Macaca mulatta: one gene and its partner. The protein of the gene in region 1 binds, or shares a complex with, the protein of each later gene. Links are inferred from orthologs where the notes say so. Each region holds a gene or a part of one and is shown on either strand. Other genes may lie near its edges.

Region 1 (4,010 bases):
GAGCACTTCTCCATAGGCCCCATTAATCTCTCCAGGTTTCTGGGAATATGATTAAATCCCTCGGCATCCTTAAGAAGCAGGTGCTGGCCGGGCGCGGTGGCTCAAGCCTGTAATCCCAGCACTTTGGGAGGCCGAGACGGGCGGATCACGAGGTCAGGAGATCGAGACCATCCTGGCTAACACGGTGAAACCCCGTCTCTACTAAAAAATACAAAAAACTAGCCGGGCAAGGTGGCGGGCGCCTGTAGTCCCAGCTACTCGGGAGGCTGAGGCAGGAGAATGGCGTAAACCCGGGAGGCGGAGCTTGCAGTGAGCCGAGATCGCGCCACTGCACTCCAGCCTGGGTGACAGAGCCAGACTCCGTCTCAAAAAAAAAAAAAAAAAAAAGAAGCACGTGCTTAGCAAACATCCAGTTTCCAAATGAGAGTCAGAGGGGCTTGATCCTGAAAGTGTAGTATTTTCCTGCCTTGTCCTACTGGTATAGCTTCTTGGACCTAAAAATCTCTCTCCTGCTGAGGCCTCATGCAGTTGCACACTCAAGTACTTCCCAAAAGGAAGAAAGGTCAGAGGTATCATTATCCCCAAGCACTTGGAATTCCAGCTGTGGAGAAATTAATCTGGTTGGGGGTTCAGGCTGAGAAGCCCTGAATAAGATCTGTAAAGGCAGAGGGAAACACAAAAGAAAGAACTATTGAGGCTCTTAAGAGACAGGAGGTCCCAGATATTTGCAGATTTTAAAGTCAGGATTGGGGGTGAAGACTGACAAGAGGATGACTGGGAGAGAAAAATATCAATTTCCCCACCGACACCCTAGGGACAAGAACAAAAAGAGTATCCAAGGAATTCCTCCAAATGACATATTTTCTTCATAAAAGATAGTAATAAGGCCAATGTACGGAAGAAGCTTATAGGTTAGAAGCAGTGCTGGAGAAATCTGAGAGTTTTGTTTGTTTTTGTTTTCCAGCACAAGGAGATAAAAGCAAAGGAGAAAACAGTATGCACCCAAACAGAATCTTAGGTCTTCTATGAAGTAAACCACCAGGAGGATTCAGAGTCCTGTGATTAACCAAAGAAATGGTTTCCACTTTGAATCCAGCCCTGGGGGCTGAGGCACTCCTAGACTTGAGGCCACCTCCAGCACAAGGAAAATCTGTATAGCCACTACATAAACAGAACAGTTCCGGAGAAAGACAGAAACCAGAAAAATGTTTGGGGATTGGGCAAGCCAAAAGAGAAGAGATCCGGTTAGCGGAAAGATAAAAGACAGGCCTATGAAAAACAATGTGCAGGTAGCCCTTTAGGAGAGGAATCCTTCCCTGGAGGGAGAGGAGAATTCAGGAGGCGTGACTCTGGAAAGTGTGCTCTGAAAAAAAGGCCGCAGGAGCAGAGAGAAAAGTGCCGTGCTGAACAAAGATACGCACTCGCCAGAGGAGGGAAGAGGAAATGGGTACGCTGACCAGACTGGGAGAGCACCTCAAGGGGAATGTGGCTCCAAAAATGGAAGGAAACTGAGGAATGAAAATGTCTTGGATGACAGAAAAGCTAAAAAGGGTAGGAAGCCATGCTCAAAACCACAGACCATTCGCCACCTGGAAATGAGAGGACTCAGAAAAAGGTGTGCCCCCCAAATTTAAGAAGCATCTGGAAAGTGGCTGCACTCTGAGAGTTGTAGAACTAAAAGGGGTTCACCTCGTACATTTGAGGGGCACAAGAAATAAATATACTCCCAGATATGAAAATGAGTCTCCCTCAGGAAATAAGGTAGTTTGATTTGGGGAACACGTGAAAAGTGTGTAACCCCAAGAATACAGTCTCGGGAGAAGGCAGTGAATTCCCTTATTTGTGAAACTGGAAATAAGTACTCATAAACTTCAGAATTTGGACATCGTTTTCGGCCCAACCTCAGATTTGAAGGGCTGAGGAAAGGAAGTGGCCCCTAAATGTAAGAAATTCCTGAAGGCATGCTGTCAGATTTGGGACCTGGAAAAGGGGGATTCTTCTTTGGAGTGGTGGGGATACAAGAAAGTATCCCAAAACTTTGGCTAATGGACCCCAGATCTGAAGACCCGATAACAGGGTGAACCTCTAAATTGGAACGGAAACGCAGAATCAGATTGGAGGCCCGAAAAAAGGAGTGTGCTTCCACTTTGGGGGCTGAGGTTAGAGGGCACACCTTCAATTCGCGGGGGGCTTTAGAAATTTAGATAAAATTCCAGAGCTAGAGCTTAAGAAAGGGGGTGTGCCGCCCAGTTTTCAAAACTATAGAGAAAAGGGACACTCCCATATTTGGGGTCTTGAGAAAGGAATGTGCTCCCCGGAATAGCATAAAAAAGCCAATTTTAAAAAAACGTATCCCCAAAGCACAGGGCAACAGCAGAGGCTGCTGATGAGGCTCTAGGGGCCCACACAGCTCAGGCTCGGTCCCTAGCGCTCACCCGCACCCCCAACACGGCCCGCTCCGCGCCCCGGGCCCGCACCCCACGGCCCAGCCCCCTCGGGCGGCGCTGATTGGCGGCAGCCGCCGTCACTCTTGAGGGTAGCCCCGGGGATTGGGCACCGCTCGCACGCCCGCCACGCTCTCAGCAGCAGTCCCAGGGCCTCCCTCCAGGCTGGGCGAGCGGGGCCAGGCGGGGAGCGGGGCCGGGCAGGGGACCGGAGCAGCCGTGGCGTCCGTCGCCGTCCCCGTCCGCACGGCGCGCGCGCAGCGCGGGCCCGGCCCGACCCGGCCCCGGCCAGCCGGCTTCGCCTCGCCGAGCCTCGCCGCGAGCTCACCTCACGGCCCCACTCCGGCTGCGCCGCTCCAGGACCAACCGACAGAAGGACTCTGCGTGCTCTACACCACGTGACCCCCGGGACGCGCCCAGCGTATCCCCCGCCCCCCACACAGACGCATCATCGCCACCACCGAGTGACGTAAGGTCCCAGCGGCCCCGCCCCCTGCCCTGTCCGCCCGATCACCGTGGCAACCGCCTGCGCAGGCCACGCCCACTGCCCTGACGCGCGGGAAACAGGTCCGCGCCCTATCAGAAACACGAAGCCCCTACTCACTCGTAATCACTGAGATCTCGGAAGCCGGGGAATGGACGCTATCCATCACCCGTTAATTTTGCCACCTACATGTGTCTCAAAGCTTCCCACTTCTCCATCGAAGCGACCACCATCTCTCCAAGATGACGGTGGTCTCCACCCTATTACTCTTTGCCGTTCTAATCCATTCTTCGTACACAGGCAGAGAGGTCTTTTCAAAACGCCATCCCCTGCTCAAAGCCCGTTTCCCTCCCTACTCCTAATTAAGATCTAACTCTTCACCTAGAGTATCTACCAGGCTCTTCAAAGTCTGGACCTGACCTGCCGCTTTCTTGTCCTCACACATCCAGCTCCCCCACATTCTCAGCGTCCTTCAACTCCGCCAACAATCCAGGTTCTTCTCACCTCAGAGCCTTTGCACTCTTTTTCTCCCCCACTTTATCATTAACACCTAGAAAGGTTTCCAATTGCTGCTAAGGATAAGGAGCTATATTTTGCCTGGGGACGAAGGTCGGAGTTGAAGCCATCCCGAAAGAATATGAGGCCAGGAGCAGTGGCTCACGCCTGTAATTCCAACACTTTGAGAGGCTGAGATGGGTAGATCACTTGAGCTCACGAGTTCAAGTCCAGCCTGAGCAACATAGCCAGACCCCCCCCCACCTCTCTCCAAGAAATACAACAATTAGCCAGGCGTGAACGTGCGCACTTGTGGCCCCAGCTCAACCTTCTGAGTAGCTGGGACTGCCGGCCCATGCCACCATGCCTGGCGAATTTTTTTTTTTTTTAGACACGGTCTCAGTGTGTCACCCAGGCTGGAGTGCAGTGGCTCAGTCTTGGCTCATCATAACCTCCACCTCCTAGGCCCAAGCAATTCTCCCACCTCAGTCTCCCTGATAGCTGGGACCACAGGTGTGCACCACCAAGCCTGGCTAATTTTTGCATTTTTTTGTAGAGATGCAGTATCACCATGTTGCCCAGGCTGG
Region 2 (4,246 bases), on another chromosome or scaffold:
AAGACGTTTTATATGCAAACAGTGATCCTGGCCGGGCGCGGTGGCTCACGCCTGTAATTCCAGCACTTTGGGAGGCCGAGGCGGGCGGATCACCTGAGGTCGGGAGTTCGAGACCAGCCTGACCAACATGGAGAAACCCCGTCTCTACTAAAAAATACAAAATTAGCCGGACGTGGTGGCACATGCCTATAATCCCAGCCACTAGGGAGGCTGAGGCAGGAGAATCGCTTGAACCTGGGAGGCGGAGGTTGCAGTGAGCCGAGATTGTGCCATTGCACTCCAGCCTGGGCAAAAAGAGTGAAACTCCATCTCAAAAACAAAACAAAAAACAAAAAACAAAAACAGTGATCCTCCAGCCTCTGTCTATGTCTGATTTAAAAAAAAAAATTTTATTTTTTTCGAGACGGAGTTTCGCTCTTGTTGCCCACGCTGGAGTGCAATGGCGCGATCTCGGCTCACCGCAATCTCCGCCTCCCGGATTCAAGCGATTCTCCTGCCTCAGCCTCCCGAGTAGCTGGGATTACAGGCATGCACCACCACGCCCTGCTAATTTCGTAGTTTTAGTAGAGACGGGGTTTCTCCATGTTGGTCAGGCTGGTCTCGAGCTCCCGACCTCCGGTGATCCGCCCGCCTCAGCCTCCCAAAGTGCTGGGATTACAGGCGTGAGCCACCGCGCCCGGCTTGTCTGATTTTATGCTAGCTGTGTACAGTGGTGAGGGAACAGCAGCCTAGGACCACAGACTGAGGGTTCAAAAGTAGCCGGAAAACGAGCCACGCTGCAAGTTGGAAAAATATGACTAGCTGGCAACCCGCCCCACAGCCCGCTCTCCGCCCCCTTCCCCAGCTCACTCTCCTCGGGGCGGAGTTGCTGACAGTCATAGCCACCCCAACCGCGCATTTTCTCAGCGCTCCGCCCTTCCAGACACGATAGGTAGTGGGCCTCGGCCAATGGCAACACCCCGTCATAGGCGCGGTAGCCAATCAGTAGCCAGGAGTCCGGAAAGGAGCGAGGCCAATCTAGGAGCCGCGGCCGCCACCAGAGTAGGGCTAGCGGCGCGGCAGAGCGCGGCGGAGCGCGGCGCAGCGCCTGAGGTAAGATGGCGGCGTTCCTTGCTCTAAGCTCTTGCAGTTGGGCTGCTATTTCGCCTTTTTTGTCAACTCAGAGCTGCTGTTTCGCCTCAAAGCAGTGTCAGAGTCAGTCTTCTTCCTACAGGCTTCAAGGAGCCAGGATCTCTGGTGACCGGAGTAGGACAAAATGGCGCTCGCATGGACTTCCGAGGCCGGGCCCAGTCGTGTGCTCTGAGGCAGGCCGGGACAAAGGCGGTGTGCAGGGAGGCAGCGTGGCCGTCGCGTGGGCCTGGCGTTGTCGCTTCCCTTCATGCTGCAGCTGTGCGAGTCCTGAAGATACATTCAGCGTGGTGGGGTTCGGGGTGGGGCCGGGCATGGAGGGACAAGCTAAAGAGAGGGAAAGCCACAAATGCCTGTGGAGACCTGGGGAGGGCGGCGGGCAGTTAGGGAGCGTACCTTACGGGGCCGACTTCTGCCTCTCTTTTGGAAACTGCCCGCGGCATCTGTCCAGATACGGTGGAGCAGGAATTTTCGGGAAGGGTAAAGGCTTTCTGATTTTTATTTTGACCCCGCAGGTTTTGGTTATGAACAGGATTCGGATTCACGTCCTGCCAACCAATCGGGGGAGGATCACTCCAGTGCCCAGGTCTCAGGAACCTCTGTCTTGTGCATTCACTCATCGTCCATGCTCTCAGCCTCGTCTGGAGGGGCAGGAGTTTTGCATTAAGCATATCCTTGAAGACAAGAATGCACCCTTCAAGCAGTGTAGTTATATATCGACGAAGAATGGAAAAAGATGTCCCAGTGCTGCCCCAAAGCCAGAGAAGAAAGATGGGTATGTATGTATAGATATATATGTCGTTTGTCTTAAAGCGAGGGGGTGTGTGATATGATGTGGGCTTCAGCATAGCTGCCGCGTTTGAGATCACGTCCTTGTAAATTTGGGGTTATGGTTGTATCCTTGGAAAATTGAAAAAACGGTGAAGACTGGAAGGACCCTTGAATTGGATTACTTAGTTCACCTCTTTGGTTCTTTTCCCTTATCTGTAGTAAAATAAAGGCATATTCTAAATTACTTTTTTTTTTTTTTTTTTTAAGAGAGATGGAGTCTTGCTGTTTTAACCAGGCTGGTCTCAAACTCCTGGCCTCAAGGTGTCCTCCCATCTCGGTCTCCCAGAGTGCTGGGATTACAGGCGTGAACCACCGTGCCCGACCCTAAAATTAATCTTTTTTTCTTTCTTTTTTTTTTTTTTTTTTTTTTGAGACAGAGTCTCCCTTTATTCCCCAGGCTGGAGTGCGGTGGTGATCTCGGCTCACTGCAACCTCCGCCTCCCAGGTTCAAGCGATTCTCCTGCCTCCCAAGTAGCTGGGACTTAAGGCGTGCGCCACCACGCCTGGCTAATTTTTGTACTTTTTAGTAGAGACGGGTTTTCACCATGTTGGCCAGGCTGATTTTGAACTCCTGACCTCAGGTGATCCATCCGCTTCGGCCCTCCAGAGTGTTGGGATTACTGGCGTGAGCCAGGGCACCCAGCCCCTAAAATTATTCTTAATGGAGGGATGTGTGGCTCTATTTGGCTGTCCATGAATTTTGTTAAATAACATGCAAAGTTGTATATGTGTGAATTCTTCTGTAAGAGGGTTCATAGTTTTCATCATGTATGCAAAGGTATCTATGCAAAAACATAACCTGACTAGATAATTTTGTACATATCTTGTAGTTTTAAAATTGTGTCCCTGGCTGGTCGCAGTGGCTCATGCCTGTAGTCCCAGTACTTTGGGAGGCCACAGCAGGAGGATCACTTGAGGCCAGGAGTTGGAGACCAACCCGAGCAATATAGTGAGACCACGTCTCTACAAAAGATTAAAAAATTCGCTGGGCATAATGTCTTGGGCATGTAGTCCCAGCTTCTTGGGTGTATCAAGAGATGGGAGGATCACTTGAGCCTGGGAGTTCCAGACCAGACTTGGCAACATAGACTTTGTTTCTACAAAAAACTAAAAAAAATTTGCCGGTACAGTGGTGCATGCCTATAGTTCTAGCTATTTTGAAGCTGAGGCAGGAGGATCACTTGAACCAAGCAGTTTAAGGCTACAGTGAGCTATGATTGCATGACTGCACTTTAGTCTGGGCAACAGAGCAAGACCCAATCCCTTGCCTCAGCCTCCTAAAGTGCTGGGATTACAGGGGTGAACCGCTTCATCCGGCCTGTTACTTTCCTTTAATAAAAAGTCAATGAGTTGACCTTGGGCCAGTTAAATTCCTCTGACTTGCATTTTTAGAAATGAATGTAATAATCATTTTAATTCCCTGAAAATGATTTAAAGATTAGGGACTATGAAAATTATTGAATGCTTTCAAGAAGGGACTTATAAAATATTAATGTTTTGTCTCTTTAGGGTGTCCTTCTGTGCTGAACATGTCCGTAGGAATGCCCTGGCACTTCATGCTCAAATGAAGAAGACCAACCCAGGGCCTATGGGTGAAACACTCCTGTGCCAGCTCAGCTCATATGCTAAGACAGAGCTGGGGTCTCAGACTCCAGAAAGTAGTCGCAGTGAAGCCAGCCGAATACTAGGTAAGGATCTTCTCTCCTGGAATGAAAAAGGAGGAAGAAAGTTAAGGGGGAACTGTTTTGGGTTAGCACAATGCCTTGAACTATTTGGCAATATTGTTAATTCATCAGGAATTTGTTGAGAATTCCGGGATTGCTTTGTTGTTTACCAATTCTTTTGAATTTGAAGTAGTGTTTGCCTAGGTTTACTCTCCTGAGTTGGTGACCATTTCTTTCATTGCTTTTTTAATGCTCAGCAGCTTTGTTACGTAATTTCAGGAAACAATAATTTTAAGTTGATTTTTCTGTTTAAGAGGGCATGGTGTACTCATTTGTGTTGTAAGTAATCATACTGGGTTGTATTTTGTTAAAGCGTTTTTATTTCCCAGTGCCTTTGTACAAAGTTTTTTTTTTTTTTTTTTTTAATTTCAAGGTTTGGGTTGATAAGTAATCTAGTTTTGTGTGGTGGAGTTACAGAGGTGGGAAGTCTTAATGGCTGCTCTCCCTTCCTTGCCTCAGATGAAGACAGCTGGAGTGATGGGGAGCAGGAACCCATTACTGTGGATCAGACATGGAGAGGTGACCCTGACAGTGAAGCTGATAGCATAGACAGTGATCAAGAA

What was found. The genes of interacting proteins can lie anywhere in the genome.
Region 2: PHF20 (region 1) and KANSL2 share a complex: the UniProt entries of both Homo sapiens proteins name them as parts of the NSL complex. The link is inferred for Macaca mulatta from reciprocal best matches to the Homo sapiens genes PHF20 and KANSL2.

Annotation. Positions count from the first base shown.
Region 1 is NC_133415.1:88,598,496-88,602,505, reverse strand, and holds the start of PHF20 (PHD finger protein 20), read right to left. Parts: upstream 2,838-4,010; 5' UTR 2,773-2,837; intron 1-2,772. UniProt on the Homo sapiens protein: Methyllysine-binding protein, component of the MOF histone acetyltransferase protein complex.
Region 2 is NC_133416.1:55,839,342-55,843,587, reverse strand, and holds the start of KANSL2 (KAT8 regulatory NSL complex subunit 2), read left to right. Parts: upstream 1-1,436; 5' UTR 1,437-1,442; coding exon 1,443-1,903; intron 1,904-3,468; coding exon 3,469-3,647; intron 3,648-4,142; coding exon 4,143-4,246. UniProt on the Homo sapiens protein: Non-catalytic component of the NSL histone acetyltransferase complex, a multiprotein complex that mediates histone H4 acetylation at 'Lys-5'- and 'Lys-8' (H4K5ac and H4K8ac) at transcription start sites and promotes transcription initiation.